Notamacropus eugenii: one gene and its partner. The protein of the gene in region 1 purifies or fractionates together with the protein of each later gene. This does not show direct contact. Links are inferred from orthologs where the notes say so. Each region holds a gene or a part of one and is shown on either strand. Other genes may lie near its edges.

Evidence for each region. The genes of interacting proteins can lie anywhere in the genome.
Region 2: the proteins of POLR3H (region 1) and CRCP purify together in Homo sapiens (affinity purification with mass spectrometry; 4 studies listed by BioGRID and IntAct, with this or other methods). This does not show direct contact. The link is inferred for Notamacropus eugenii from reciprocal best matches to the Homo sapiens genes POLR3H and CRCP.

The regions. Positions count from the first base shown.
Region 1 is NC_092874.1:300,584,723-300,592,099, reverse strand, and holds the start of POLR3H (DNA-directed RNA polymerase III subunit RPC8), read left to right. Parts: upstream 1-4,358; 5' UTR 4,359-4,451; intron 4,452-4,463; exon of another isoform or gene 4,464-4,592; intron 4,593-4,924; 5' UTR 4,925-4,938; coding exon 4,939-5,049; intron 5,050-5,861; coding exon 5,862-5,958; intron 5,959-7,377.
Region 2 is NC_092873.1:43,130,584-43,138,574, forward strand, and holds the start of CRCP (DNA-directed RNA polymerase III subunit RPC9), read right to left. Parts: upstream 3,003-7,991; 5' UTR 2,851-3,002; coding exon 2,843-2,850; intron 684-2,842; exon of another isoform or gene 574-683; intron 1-573. UniProt on the Homo sapiens protein: DNA-dependent RNA polymerase catalyzes the transcription of DNA into RNA using the four ribonucleoside triphosphates as substrates.

The sequences.
Region 1 (7,377 bases):
ACAGCCCTTTCCTGACTGGAAGCCAGTATGTGCCCCTCCCTAGCATGGGTGAGCACCCTCAGTCAATCCCAATGCTCCTCACAGGACATGATTTGAGTTCCTTCAGCACTGGCTGCTTGTCTCTGGATGTTCTCCACTTGGTCATATCCTTCCCCAGAATGCAGAGCAGTATGCCTTGGGTGTGACCCGGGAAAAGGTCAAGGGGGCCCTGCCCTTGTTCTGGATCCTCTGCTTGGGACTTACAGAAAGCCTGGGCCCAAGGGCCTTCCCTCAGCTCCACTCTGGCTAGCACACCAGACAGGGTGACTGCAGTCTTCCTCTTCATGTCCAGCCTCCGTCCACACCCCAGTTACTCAATGCAGAGATTTCTTTGAAGGCCACAGCAAAGGTGATGGGGCTCCTGTGTCTCAGAGTCGTGAATGAAGGTTGCTGAGTGAGTCGGAGTATTCTGATGCTGAGTAGAGAAGAAAGATGCTCATCTGTTCATTCAGGAAATCAGCTAGCAGCCAGCACCCACGCATCAGGCAGTCTGAGTAACAAGATGCTCTGCTTGGAAACCAGGGGGCTCGACGGGAGGGGATCTCAGGGAGAAGCAAAGTCTTGGTGACATGGGCTGGGGATTGCCAGTTCTTTAGTAAGCTGGGAAGCCTGGAAAAGTCCAGACTCACTCTTGGGTCATTCCTTTCTGGTTTAGAACTCTTTCATCTGGTGGAGTTGAAGGCCACACTGTCTCCTCCATTCATCTGCCAAACAGGGGTCCCCAAGATTTTGTGGGCACAGGCTTGGCTCTATCTAACCCCAGAGAGGCACGGGCTGGCTCTATGCCATTTTGCTATGATAATGAGCAGTGCCTCAAGGTTTGTACCATCTCTCTTGAGTACAGAAGCAGGTTTTGACATTTCACAGTGGGAATGGACCCCCTCCAGAAAGGGACTTTCTCCATGTGGGAGTTCACCATATGAAGGAAATCACAGGTCTGGCTCCATCTACCTAAAAAAACCAAGCTGTCACACTCAGGTGACCAGTGCCCAGGCTCCTCCCACCAGAGTCCCAATTTGTTTCTAGCTGGTTAAATGTCAACATTCTGCCGTAGCTGGCATTTCTTTGTATCTAAGCCTGGAGAGGAAGGCCTCGTCCAGCTTGTCTGGCTCCATCTCTCATCTGAGGAGTGGGGAGCGGAGGAAGAGCTGTATAGAAGATACAGTGTGGGCTCCAGACAAGGCTGGAAGGGACCTTAGCCAGTCTGGGTGGGGGTTTGCTTTTCTCTGTCAGGGAACCCCTGAAAATGTCTGGTGACACCTAGGGACCCCTCATTAGAATTGTGGTTGGAAATGCACCAAATAAAATACAAGGATTTCAGAGAAAACCAATGAATTTGGAACATAGATATCTGAAAATGAACAAAACAAGTTCACAGACCCAGGGTAAGAAACCCAAGTCCCTCGATTTAGAGATGAGACAAGTGAGACCTGGAGCTGTGAAGGGATCTGTCCAAGGTCCCCCAGAGAGGACGCCCCTCCAGGGCGGCCAAGCCCTGGTTTTCTGTGAGTGATGCTGGCCTGGCCTCCAGGATCGATGGAGGAGGTAGGTTCCAGGTCTACCCCTGGACTCTTGGGCCTGACCTGCCTCCCACCCCTCTTCATTCTTCCTCTGACCTCTCCTGGCTCAATTCCCTGAATACTCGATGTGCTTCTAGCCAGATTCCAGGGTCCCTTCTCTCCGTGCTTACGGGTCCTGAAGTCCACCCTTCAAGAAATCTCACCCTAAATGGGACTGATCAATAGCTACGTGTTCCCTTCCTCACCAGGTTCTCAGCAGCTGCAGCCGATGGCAGAAAAGGCCCTCCCCCTTCTGCTTAAAGACCTAGAAATGAGCAGAGAAGCCCTTCTCTCTAGGGTAGGCCTTCTCATCACTATCCTAGACACTAACCACTGAGCAAAAGTTCCATCTCACAAGAACAGGAACAAGAATTTTCAGCAATAGTTGAAAAGTCAACCTGTCCACTAAGTCCAGCTCACAGATTCATGGAAATCTTAGGAGCTGGAAGGAACCTTAGAGGTCATAGCAGCCCTCATGGTACAGATGGGGAAACTGAGGCCCAGTGAAGGGAGGTGGCTTCCCCAACGTCTCTGGAGTGTGTCAGAAGGGGAAGAGTTGGTCCAGGACCTCAGACCCACCAAACCATGCTGCTTCAGAGAGGGGCTACTCTACCTTGCTGAGGTCACATCCTGGGTGGAAGCAGGGTAAAGTTCACGTCTTCTCTCAGACCTGGGCTTTTGCCATTACTCTGTGAGTCAAAAGCTGCTGATTTTTTGTTTTCATTCAGACAAATTGATATCCACTGGGGTGTGAGTAACATCTGCTTCACGAATTTCCTCCACTGTAAAATGGGGATGAGGACAGCACCTGCTTCACAGGGTTGTTGTGAGGATGAAATGAAAGAATATTGTAACTGTAAGGCTATCTCGGTGTCTGGCACACAACAGGCACTGTACAGTTATGTATTCTCTTCTCTTTTCCCCCAAAGCAAGGAAAGCATCCTGGGGACTTAATGTGGCTGACCCCTTAGGCTCAGGCTGGAACAATCGATGGAGTTCTACTTGCCTAAGCTTTCATAGCTTAGAACTGTCCTGACTGTGGGATCAAAGAGTTGGGGCTCCTCAGGCTTGGCCCCGCCAGCTAACCAGGCAGTTCATGTCTCCATGGAAAACATGGGGGCCGAGTAACTGCACCCAGCTGACCTCATGCTGTGTTCTTGCTGAGTATCCTTTCCAGGCTTTCACTAAATAAACTTCTTTTCTTATTAACTGGCCTACCAATGTCTCCCTTTGTTCTTGACCTAAGCCCTTGGACAGGTATGAGTCAGGACTGGTGCAGAATGTGGTCTTCTGGCTCATGAAGAAGGGATCTATCCAAGCAAAAGCAGGAGGGATATGATGGCTGACAACATAGCAGGAAAGGAAACGTCCCCCCAAAATACAGGCCAGCTGCTATGAGCGCAGGGCATGAGGGAGGGGAGTCTAATCATGCTCAGGCATCATCTGCCCTTCTGGCCAGACTTCATGTTGTCTCTCACTACTAATAATAACAATTTAAAAATTATAATAGCACTTTCATAGTGCATGAGGGCTCACAAAGCCCTTGCACAGGTGATCTGATTGGAGTCAGAGGCTCTTGGGATGCCCATAATGCTACCCAGCCTCCCAGAGTGTCCTCTCTCCAGACCCTCCTCATCCTTCATGGTCCACCTGAGGTCCTCCACAAAGCTTTTTGGATTTCTATGGCACTTATCATCTGAACCAAATAATTTAGCATTTCACAATACTCTGATTTTTATATCCCCTGTCTGTATGTACTGGCCTTGGCTCCCCCCAAGTCTTGCCCTTCCTTATTCTACCTGTCTCCTCCCTTCCAAGTGCCTTTCTGGGACAGTGCTAAACAAATGCCTCACTACTAACTCAAATACCCTGAGTCATCTTTGAGGCAACGCCAAACTCGCTGGGCTGGATTCCTTCAGCAAGCTATGAGTACATGGTGAGGGAAGTGGGGGGTGGGAGGATGCCAGGCATCTGAAGTTGGGCCATGGGATGCCAGGGCTCAGGGCTGGAGGTCATTTGACCCAACACCTTTTTTACACATGGGAAAATTGGGACCCAGAGTGATTCAGGACAAGATTCCTCCACGGAAGAGATGGGATTTGGAATTCTCTGAGTCCAAATCCAAGGCTCCTTTCTATGCTAGGATGCCCAGGGCAGGAGAAGGAGCCAAGTGAGGCTCTTGGAATGCATCCTATCCTAGCAGGCCAGGTGCAGACACAAGTGTGGATGGCTGTCCCCTCTTCTGCTTACTCCATTGCAGCTGCTGGGCTGGCCCCAGGCTCTCCACCTGACACCTCGAGAGGCTGGATTCCTGTCTAGGGTAGGAGCCCGGTGATGCCCGGGGAGGACCTCTGCCTATGCTGAGGACAGGGCACGCTCTATGCATAACCTGACCCCAAATGCCAAGGATCTCATTCTCATGTTTGTCCACCTTCTTCAAACAGGCCTTCAACTGGCCTTGCTCCAACGTCCATGTCAGTTTCAGGCTTGAAGGCCCGCCCCCATCCCTACACAAGGCCTGGCCTCTAGGAGACTCTTCTTAGTAGATGCTGAGAGATGGAGTGGCGGAGCGAAGATGGGCGGGAAAGGGGCGGAGCCTGAGAGCGGTGGGCGGGGCTCGAGGAGAGAAGGCTTGGTCTTCGAGGACGGAGCGGAGCCTGGCCGGGGGAGGGGCTTCTGGGAAAAGGGGAGGAGTCAGGAATGCTCCCTTCCGCTAGCAGGCGGCGGAAGTTGAGGGGGCGGGATTAAGAGACGGAGCCTACTCTGATAGGTTCAATATCCGGAAGTGATCCTGTTTCCTGGAGACGGCGCGTGGCGGCGGCGGTGGAGGCTGGCTGGGCGCGTGGCAGGCCGGTACGTGTCCGCTGAGGTCTCGGGGCCCCAGTCCGCGGTGCGGGGGCGGGAGGCCGAGGCTCTGGGGCCCTCTTCTCCGAGGCCCGCTCGCGCGTGGGGCCCCCCGCCTGCCCTATTTCTCGTGCCTCTGTTTCCCCATCTGTAAGGAGAGAGGATCGGCCCCTGCCAGCTTCTGGGGCTCAGTTTCCCCGTCTGTAAAAGGAGATGGGACTAGCTGCCCCCCTGCCCCTCCCCCAGCTCCAGCTCGGCGCGGTTACTACGTAACCGGGCTCCAGGCCTCGGGCCTTGCGCCTCCGGGCCTGTTTCCCCGGCTGTCCAAGGAGGAGGGTGGTGGCTTCTCGGGGTTCTGCCACCTCGGGTCCCCCACCCCGTGCCTTGGCACACCCCTTCCTGCCCCGGGGCTCGGGTTCCTCTGGCTCTGAGGCCCGGAGAGGGAGGAGCGTTGAGGTCTGCTGCCTCCCTGCCCCTTCCAGGGCGTGTGCCCAGGATGTTTGTCCTGGTGGAGATGGTGGACACGGTGCGGATCCCACCGTGGCAGTTTGAGAGGAAGCTCAACGACTCCATCGCGGAGGAGCTGAACAAGAAGCTGGCCAACAAGGTGAGCTCCCTTGCCCCCAGACTCCGCGGCCCCGCCTTCCTCCCCTCTGCCCCTCAGAAACTTCGTGTGAGGCCCGAGCGGCCCTCCCCACAGCCTCCTTAGTCAGCAGGCACCCACTGTGTGCCAGGGACCCAGCGAGGGGCCCCAGGCATCCCTGGCCTCCCGGGCTCACCTTCTGGCGGAGGAGACAGCGGGAGGTGAGCAGGAGCACCGGAGTCACTGCAGCACAAGTGAGAGGAGCCTGTCTGAGGGGTCCTGGAGGAAATGGAGTGTGCAGCGTGGAGACCTGAGGAGGCTGGGCTTTCTGGTGCCAAGCAGGGGCTCCCTGCTGGGTCTTGGAGGTGGTGGGGAACGCGTGAGGCTGTGGAGCTGCAGTCAGGCCTGACGTGGGTGGATCCTTGGACTGAGAGGAGGGAGGAAGGAGGCCAGGACGGAGCTGAGCAGGAAGCCTGGCACATAGTAGGTGCTGATCAGCTCTTGTGGATTGGGGGTGAAGCGGGATTCTCATCCAGATGTGAAAAGGGAGGCACAGGGAGTTCCTGATTGTTGCTTTCACCGCCTGGGCTTCTTCCAGGGCAGGCCTTGGAGCCCTCTGCACAGGTCCAGGAGAGCATAAGAGCAGGCCCCCTTGTGACCCTGCCCTCCTGCTCCCTGGCCCAACCTGGCACCCACCTTGGCCTCGGCCTCCTGTATGGGGACCTCTTGGCAAGTCCTGTCCTTGGCTGCCATGGGCAGGCAGGGTGGTCTCAGACGCTCATGGCCAAGGACCCAAGGACACACGGACCTGTGCCTGAGTCAGTATGTCTCTGCAGGTCGTGTATAATGTTGGACTTTGCCTCTGCCTGTATGACATCACCAAGTTAGAAGACGCCTACGTGTTCCCAGGGGATGGTGCATCTCATACCAAAGGTGGGCATCCTTGTTCCCCACCTTACACTGAATTGAGGGTTGGGACAGATCTCAGAGGTCCACCCACTGAGCCTTTACCCTGGGCTGGGACTGTGATCTGAAGTGTCCACCTCTCCTCCAGGACACCCCCAATTGTTGGGGAGCCCCTGGCTACCCTCTCATGACCCCCCCACCCCAGGCACTCAGTGCCATTTCCAAAGCCATGTCCAAAGGATGGCCCATGGGGTGTTGGAGGCAGCTCTCGCAGGCATCGTGGTAAGGCCTGGGTCTGAGACCAGGCTGTGCCACTGAAGGGTTGGGCCCCTCTCCATCTCCCCCTCACTCCCCCCCAGGGCCTCAGTTTCCTCCTTTGTAAAAGAAGGAGTTGGACTCAGGCATCTCTAAGCCCTTCTCTGGCTCTGGTCCAGGCTCATGCGTCCCCCCATATTTTGTCCTAGAGCTTGGGCTTCCCTTGGCTGACCCTTGGAGGTGTCTTCTCCTGGTCACCTTCCTCTGGCCGTGCCCCAGTTGGGCCCTGGGCTGCAGGTGTGCTCTGCCCAGGCCTGGGACCAAGGGACCTTGCCATGCCCTCCCCCGCGACGAGCCACCTTCCCTGCCACCTCCTTTCTTTGCTTTTAAGAATCAGTATGTTATCTGTGTCTGGTGTTTACAGCACAGGAATTTTGGGCATGAGCCAGCCTCCCAGCGCCAGACACACAGACACACATGCGCACAGAGCATGTCAGCACTCTTTCTATAAAGATCTACAACCCAGCCAGGAGACCAGCAGTTTCTGCAGCACTCCTCACCTGTCCCCTTCCACATCTCCATATAAAGGAGGGGGCCAGTTTTCCTTCTCTGTTCTCCAGGGCTTCAAACCCTTCCCCAGGGCTGGCCCTTTCTGGGACTTGGTCCTGGCTAGAACTAAGGCAGGGACTTCTCTGAGCCTTGAGGGGAGGGTTTCTCTGTCTCTCGACTGGGACTGCTCTCTCTCCCCAGAGATCTCTGACATTCTACTCACCTCAGACCCCAGATGTGGCCTCCTTCCTACTCCAGGGCACACTGGTTGGGGTGCATTTTTGGAACCCCGGTGTCCAAGGCCCCTCTACCAAAGCCAGCCTGGGAGCTGAGGCCGAGCCACCTGCTGTCCCACATGGGGAGGCTCCCTGGCTGGTCAGTCTTTTGGGGAACAGGTTTGGGGAGGGGACAGCAGGCCAGATGCAGACATAGCATTGTTAGGCCCCCATGCCTCCAGCACTGATTTAGGCCTCAAGTCTGAGCCAGAAAGTAGCAGAAGGTGATTTCATCCAGCCCTGTCATTTTATGGCTGAGGAAACTGAGTCCTGGAGAAGGACAGAGATGTGCTCCATCCCTGCAGATGCTGGGGGCAGAGCTGGGTACAAGGGCCTGCTGATTCTCTTTACTCTCACCAGCTGCCTC
Region 2 (7,991 bases), on another chromosome or scaffold:
TGAGGCATGATTCAAACCAAGACTCAACTCACTCTACCAAAGGGGTCCTTCCACCAATGACACTCACCCTAGAGAACAGTGAGAAGCTAGAAACTCCAATTCTAAGAAACAGCTAGATGAGTATCACTTTCTCTTTCTTGCTAAATGAGACAATAATTGATCCATTTAAGGAATATTCCCGGAAAAGGGAAAAAAAGTCACAACCCATCAGATCATGTTTCCATCCACAGAGATGGATTTGTGGGCACTCGATCCCAAAGGTACCCAAGCCTTGTCACCCCCTCTTTCTCCTGTAACTGACACCCAACACTCAGCCTGAGGCCTCCTTCTGTCTCATGGACCTCAATGTCTTGAGGGCACCTCCAACTCCACAAGAACAAAACTGAACTCATCATCTTTCCTCCCAAATCTTCCCCTCTCCTACACTCTGCATTCCTGTCAAAGGCCCCTCCATCACCTTGGTGACTCCTCACTCTTCCTCACCCCTCACTGCTAAACAACTTTGAAAGACGTAAGAATTCTGCTCAAAACAACAATAGCCCAGGATTCCAGACGTTGAAAAACACTACCCACCTCCTGACAAAGAGGATGGAAGCAGGCTGCAGATGGACAATGTGGGGATTGTTTTGAATGACTGCTGATTTGTTACGTGGGTTTTGTTTTCATTTTTTCTTTTTTTTTTCCTGATGGAAGAGAATGATGGGAGGGGAAAAAAAGTATATTTTTGTTATTTTTAATATTAAATTTTTTAAATATACATTTTAAAATATACATTCCACAGTGTCTACATTAACAGCAATATCGTACAAGGATCAACTGTGAATGACTTAGCATTACACATATACTCTCAGCAATGACCCAAATGACCCAAGACATTTCCAAAGGACTTATGATGAAAAAGGCCGTCTGGCTCGAGAAAGAACTGACGGAGTCTGAATGAGACCAAAGCAGACTTTTTACATTTTTTCTCGGGGTTTTTTGATCTGTGTTTTCTTTTGCAACCTGGCTAATATGGAAATGTTTTGCACAAGTGCAAAGTCTCTATCAAATTGCTTGCCTTCTCAGGGAAAAGGAAGGGTAAGTAGGGAGAGAATTTGGAACTAAAATTTGTTTTAAATGTTAAAAATTATTTACATAATTGGAAAAAATAAAATATTTAAATATATACATACATATATATAATACCTCTACACACACACACACACACAGAGTGCAATGAATAGCACATCAGCCCTGAAGTTATGAGGACCTGAGTTCAAATCCAGCCTCAGACACTAGCTGTGTGACCCTGGGCAAGTCACTTAACCCCCAATTGTCGTGTGTGTGTGTGTGTGTGTGTGTGTGTGTGTGTATGTGGACATGTGTATATACTAGGATCACAGATTTGGAGGTCAAAGGAAACTTAGAGGTGAAGTCAATTCAATAAAACAACAAAATTAAGTAATCTATTTTAAGATAACAGAGATAAGTGATGAAGCAGAGAACTCAGCCCCATGTCCTGATTCCAAATGCTGTTTTCCACTGTACCCCCACATATAGTGCTGGTTATTCCTTGTTCTCACCTACTATACATATACACAGGGTACTCTTACATTAAGAGTCACAGAAGGTAAGATGGGCAACCTATGTTACAGGTAATCTTAAAGTCTTTGCACAAACAAAACCAATGCAGCTAAAACTAGAAGTGAAGCAGGTAAATGGGGAAGAAAAATATTTGCAGTTAGTTTCTCTGATAAAGGCCTCACTTCTAAGTTATATAGAGAAATGATTCAAAGTTATAAGAATTGATCATTGATTCCTGAATTGATAAACCAAAATAAAAGGAAATGAACTGGAAGTTTTCAGAAGAAATCCAAGCCATAAGGGGGGGAAGAGACTCTAAATCACCAATAATTGGAAAAATGCAAATTAAAACAACTTCAGTTCCATTTAATTCACTGGAGAAGGAAAGGGCAAACCATGCCAGGGTCTATACCGTCAACATGGTCCATGGGGTCACCGGAAGAATCAGACACAGTAACAAATGTAACAACCTCACACGCATCCGATTGGCAAACATCCAAAACAGGGAAACAAGAAATAAGAGGTACATGAATACACTATGGGTACAATGGAGAACTGTCCAGCCTTTCTGGAAAGCATGTGGAGTTACCCCCAAACTGTGCGTACCCCTTAACCCAAAGAAATTACTACCAGCTCTACCCAAAGAGGTCAAAGAGGGAGGGAGAAGGTCCAAAACACCAAAAGGCTAATTCTGGGGTGGCAAAGAGCCGGAGCCCGCAGGGCTGAACGGCTGGACCAGTCAGTCATATAGTGCGGATGCCAAGGGGGTGGAAGGAGAAATGAAGCTGGGGTTCCCCAGAAAACTGGGATTGGCAGTAACTGATACCCAGTGGAAGGGGCAGAGCCAGCAGCCCCGTCTTCACGATAACCCCAGCCCACTTGCAGCTCCGAGGCAGCAAGGCCCACGGACGCGCCCCCCACGCCCTCCTCCCTGACCACAGAACGCCCACGGACCCACGCGGGCTGCAGGGGCCACACCAGCTCTTGGGCTATTACAAAGGAGAGGGAGGAACAAGGCAGATTCTGGCTCATTTCGGAATTAAACCCCCTGCCTCTGAGAACAGCACGAGAGCCTCCCAGGACGCCTCTCCCCAGCCCCTGGGGCACACAGGAGGGGTTTAAGGAGCGCGGACAAATGCACGCGCGTGCCAGCCCAGGAATGCCCACGCACGGGCACGCACAAGTGCACGTGGGCACCGACACGCCCGCACAGCCATGCGGGCACACTCCGCCCTCCTCCCCCAGCCCGGGCCTCCCACGCGTGGGGCCGCCCACTCACACTTCCATCGTGGCCCCTCCTCCTCCGCGCTCTCCCACGGCTCCGAGATCCCGGGTCCACGCTGAGCTGCAGGCCGCGGCGCCGGCCGGGGGCAGGGCACCCGGTGCACGTCACGGGGCCGCCCAGCCTCCGCGCGCGCGCACGCACGCCGGGGCCGCCCCCGGCAGCACGCCGTGCCCTCCCTTAGCTACGAGCCCGGAGCAGCAGCGCCCAGCCCCCTCGCTGTGGCCGCAGGGATGGGCGGAGGTAGCAGGAGAACGCCCTCGACCCCCTAGCCTAAGCCACTCCCCTGGTTTGGGCTGAATCAGGCCGAGATTGCTGCTGGCCCCAGATGCCCGTGGAGTCTGGCACTCAGGATCAGTCAGTAAGCGATAGTTTATATCAATCAGTCACCATTTAGGAAGCTCTGCCCTGGGCCAGGTGCTGTGCAGGAACTGGGGTTGTCCTTCATTCTTAAAGGTGAAATCAAGAAGGTGATACCATGACATGCAAGTGAATTGGATTTCAGTGAGGCAGGGACTCACTTTCTCCTCCAGAGCCATCTGGGTCCAGTGGTCAGATACTGATCAGGAGGACGGGAGATGGCCCAGGATGCAGTGAGAGACCTGGACCTTTTTAAGCTTATGTCAGAGCATGTCTGAGGCACTTCAGTGATGAAGGCTAGGTAAGAAATGAGCAAAGAATGACCTCTTTTAGCTAGTCCAAAAAAAAAATCCATCTGGAAGGGGAAGGCCCTCAGAGTTTCTGGCCAAAACAGAAACAATTGCTATTTATATCTGCTCTGAGCGAGAAGAGGCAAAAATCAGTCCCAGCCCTCAAAGAGCTTACCGGGCACTTAATAAGTCATTGGTGGACTGAGCCTCCCACTCCAATACTTTGCACTAGTGGGGGGTGGGGATGGAGGATAGTAGGTACTTAATGTTTGTTGACCAATCCAGTATTTATTAAGCACCTAGTTTTCTTCCAGGCCAGAGATACAAAGACAAAGAAGGAAAACTATCCCTACACTTAATGATTTGATTGATTAATTAGAAGGTAGAAAGAAATATGGACAGGAAAGAAAAGAAAACATTGCCTTCAGAGAGGTGAGATGGGTTCATAGACTTGCATTTTGAACTCTGTCTTCCTGTGTTTTGGGTCAGAAAGTCTTCCCATTAAAGCAACCAAGCAAAGGAATATGACCCAAGTCTGCCTCAATCCTCTGTCCGTTTCAAACTTTCTTGGAGTTTTTGCAAGTCCAAAGAACACTTAGCTAGTCAGTGCACATTTCTTTTCTCCCTGCTAGATTGTAAACTCATTGAATGCAGGGACCATATCTTATCCAAACTTCGAGTCGCTGTCATCTAACCAAGGGTTCGTTGGCTGAATGGAAGACCTTGCCTCTGTTTATCTTTGTCTTTCCCCAATAATTCTGGGTTTACTCCCATAAGCACAAAAATTCTATTAGAGGAACAGTCTTCTGCACACTTGTTTGCCTTCTTACATGAAAAATCTATTACTCAATCAGTGGACAGAAACCATTCAGAAATGATTTAAATGCCAAATCTGAGGGAGCTGGTTGAGGCACAGAGAAATCAGATGACTTACCCAGGGTCACCCAGCTTAGACCCATAGATTTAGAGTGGGAAGGGTGGCAGTGGTCGGGTCCAACCCAATTCCTCACTTCAAATTATCAGGCTTTTCCACCATATTGATCCAGCAGATAAGGCATCATTCGAACGCATGTCTTTCCTTTTCTAACCTCAGCACTCCATCTGTTATGCCACAGCAACTTCTTCCTGCCTACTTAAGCAGACTTTGGGGGAGAATAGTAATTGCTAATATTTAGTGTTTAAGGGTAACTTAGATTACTACATATACACATATCTACACTTTACATACATTATTTCACTTGACAGGGGAGGAGCAAGCGCTGTTATTATCTTCATTTTACCGAATCGTAAAACAGATCCTGAACATGATGAGTCTTTTTATTAATGGCTCAGGGTCATCAACACACAAGACCTAGTGGAAAGATAGATAGAACTGGAGTCTTTTATACTGTCAGGATTAGAATCTGGACAAGGCACTTAACCACTGGCCAGACCCTGATTCACTTCAAATATGCTCTCAGATACTTACTAGCTGTGTGACTTAGATCACTTCACCCTTTTTGCCTCAGTTTCCTCATCTCAAGCTGAAGAAAGAAGTGGCAAACTACTCCAGTATCTTTGCCAAGAAAACCCCAAATAGGGTCACAGAGACAAGACTGAAATGACTAGACAAAAAAAAGTAGGTTTTTAATAATAGCTGGCATTTATATTCAGATTCAAAGTATGGAAAACATTTTACAAACACAATCTCATCTGATCCTCACAATAACCCCATAAGGTAGTGTGTGGGATGGTTCAGGTCCCTACATAAATCAGTTACTCAGAGGCCTCTCAAAGTGATGACAGAAAAGAGATTTATTCGATTCTCGAGAAGCGGGGCTAACCTGTAGGAGTAGGAAAGACAAAGACAAAGAAAAGGGCAGTGATTTATATAGACCCTAACACAAGTCCCTCCTCCCCCCACTGACCATTATCCTCATTAGCTGAGAATATGATCTTACATTCTAGACACGAAATCTAACCAATCCTTTTTGAAATGAAGACATTGAGGAATTATGTGAGTTTTGTCCAATCATTGAGACCCTAATACACTACACAGTTTTATATCCTTATATGGAACTATTCTATTCTAAAAATATTGTAACCTTGAGCCTTTAGGCCTTACCTCACCCCTGGAAGAAGAATTACAATCTGAGAAGTCTTCACTAAACCTATCCCACTCAGTAGGATGTTATTCCATTTTTACAGATGGGGAAACTGAGGCTTGGGAAGGCTAACCATCTTGCTCAATGTCACAAAGCTAAAGTGTCAAAGTCAAGAATTAAACCCAGGTTTCCTGGCCCAAATCCAGGGTGTTTGTGAATAATAATAATGACAGGGACAGTTGGTGGCACCATGGATAGAGCACTGGGTCCAGCATCAAGACCTAAGTTCAAATGCAGCCTCTGATGCTTTCTGTCTTTGTAACTCTGGGCAAGTCATTTAACCTCTGTTTGCCTCAGTTTCTTCAACTATAAAATGGGGACAATAAAATTGCTTGCCTTCTCAGTGAGGGTGTTGGGGAGGGAGGGAGAGAATTTGGAACTCAAAATTTTAAAAACAAATGTTGAAAATTGTTTTTAAATGTGATGGGGAAAAATAAAATACTAAATATGTAATACTTGAAAAAAAATAAAATAGGGATAATCATGGCATGACCCTGAACAGTTTTAGCACAATATTTGGCACCTAAAAGGGCACTATGTAAATACTTCTTTCCTTCCCTTTAAATTATTAATAGCTATCATTAAATAGCACTTTGAGGTTTGCAGAGCTCATTACAAATATTATCTCACTTGATCATCATAAAGGAGGGCTGACAAGACAGAAAAACAAAACTTTACCTGCCTTCAGGGAGTTTATCTTCTACTGGAATAAAAACTGGAACCCAGGTGAATAAATATAAAACAGTTGGTAGAGGGGAAATGAAAAAAGCTTCCTTTAGGAAGTGACTTGTGGGCTCTGGAAGAGAGCTTGGGATTCCTGGAAGACAGGAGTTGAGAAGGGAGTTTTTCCAGACTGAGGAGATCCTCTATCCAAAAATATGATGGAAGGCCAAGTATAGAAGGAAACAGTATGGTCTGGCTACAGATTAGAGTGTGTGGTGGAGGAGTAAAGTGACATCAGTCTGGAAAAATCCGTCGGGAGTAGATTGGGGTCTTGGGCATTGGGACCTTGAAGGGACCTTGAAAGGACCTTGAATGCTAAATTTTGAGATTTGGATTTTTTTCCTAGAAACAAGAGGGAGCCACTGGGACTTGTTGAGCCTCGTGGTCATATCAAGGACATCAATTTGGCTTGGATGCAAAGGACAAATTGGAGAGAAAAGGCAGGCCAATTAGGAGGCTTATTGTAACGTGGTATCCAGCTGAGTCAGGTCCATGACAACTCAGAAAAAAACAAGTCCCCAGGACTGACTTACTTCCAGTGACATCTCATAGATGGTGTAATCACCTAAGGGCGTTTCATCGAACCTGTCACCCTCGTGTGCGCACAGGGAGGTCAAAGACATGATCCCTGCCCTCTCTGCTTACGGTTGAAGTGTACCAGGCTGGCTCTGAGGTCAGTGGTTCAGGCACAAGAGAGGACGAAGCCGAAGGCCAGGTCAGACAGATGAATGGATCTGGTATTCTCAGTGGCTACATTGTAGCTGGTTTTGCATGTGATCCTGGCCCATAGCAACTTCCAGAAATCTTATAGAAAACAATGTCGGGTAGCCTCCGAACCTAGGGCCATGTCTGAAGCTGAGCAAAGAGTACAGCATGGGAGAGCAACGTGGGGTAGGGAAAAGAACCCTGGATTTTGAGCCAGAGGCCCTGGGCTCAAATTCCTGGTCCTCCTTTAAGACTTTGAGAAAGCCCCGTAAGCGCTCTATGCCTCAGTTTCCCCATCTGTAAAATGAGGGGGTGGACCCCTGAGGTCCCTCGCAGCTCCAGATCTGGGGTCTGAGAGGGGAGGGTGGTTTGGGTCCAGCTCCATCTAAATGGAGAAGGTGGGAGAAAGGCGGAAGGAGGACAAGGACCCAGGAGACATTTTCCAAGTCAGCCTGGGAAGTTCCCAGATGGCGAAGTCACACCCCGAAGCGGGCAGGCAGATTGCATCACCGTCCAGGCTCTCCTGATGGCCACACAAATATGGGAGGCGCCGGTGACGCCCAGGGACAAGAGGCGACCCACTGCAAGGGCAGGTAAAGCCGCCAGCCCCTCCTCCACGCAGTGAAGGCCTTGATTGGTGCGGCGGGGCCTGGCCCCGGTGACGTCGTCCTCCCCGGGAAGGAAAAGCCTCGGCGGCGGGACTGGGCTCTGGGCAGAAGCTGTTGCATCAGGTGAGTCAGAGTTCCCGTCCGCACCTTGCTGGAAGGGGGTGTGGTGCGGGGCAGCAGCGTGATGCCCTGCCCTGTCCTGGCACTCCTGGGAGCTCGGGGCTCCCGAGCGGCTGGGGGACAAGAGCTCGGAGGGCAGCCACATCCCTGCCCTGGGCACGGGGTGGACGGCGGGCTGCCAGGGTGGGGACAGCGG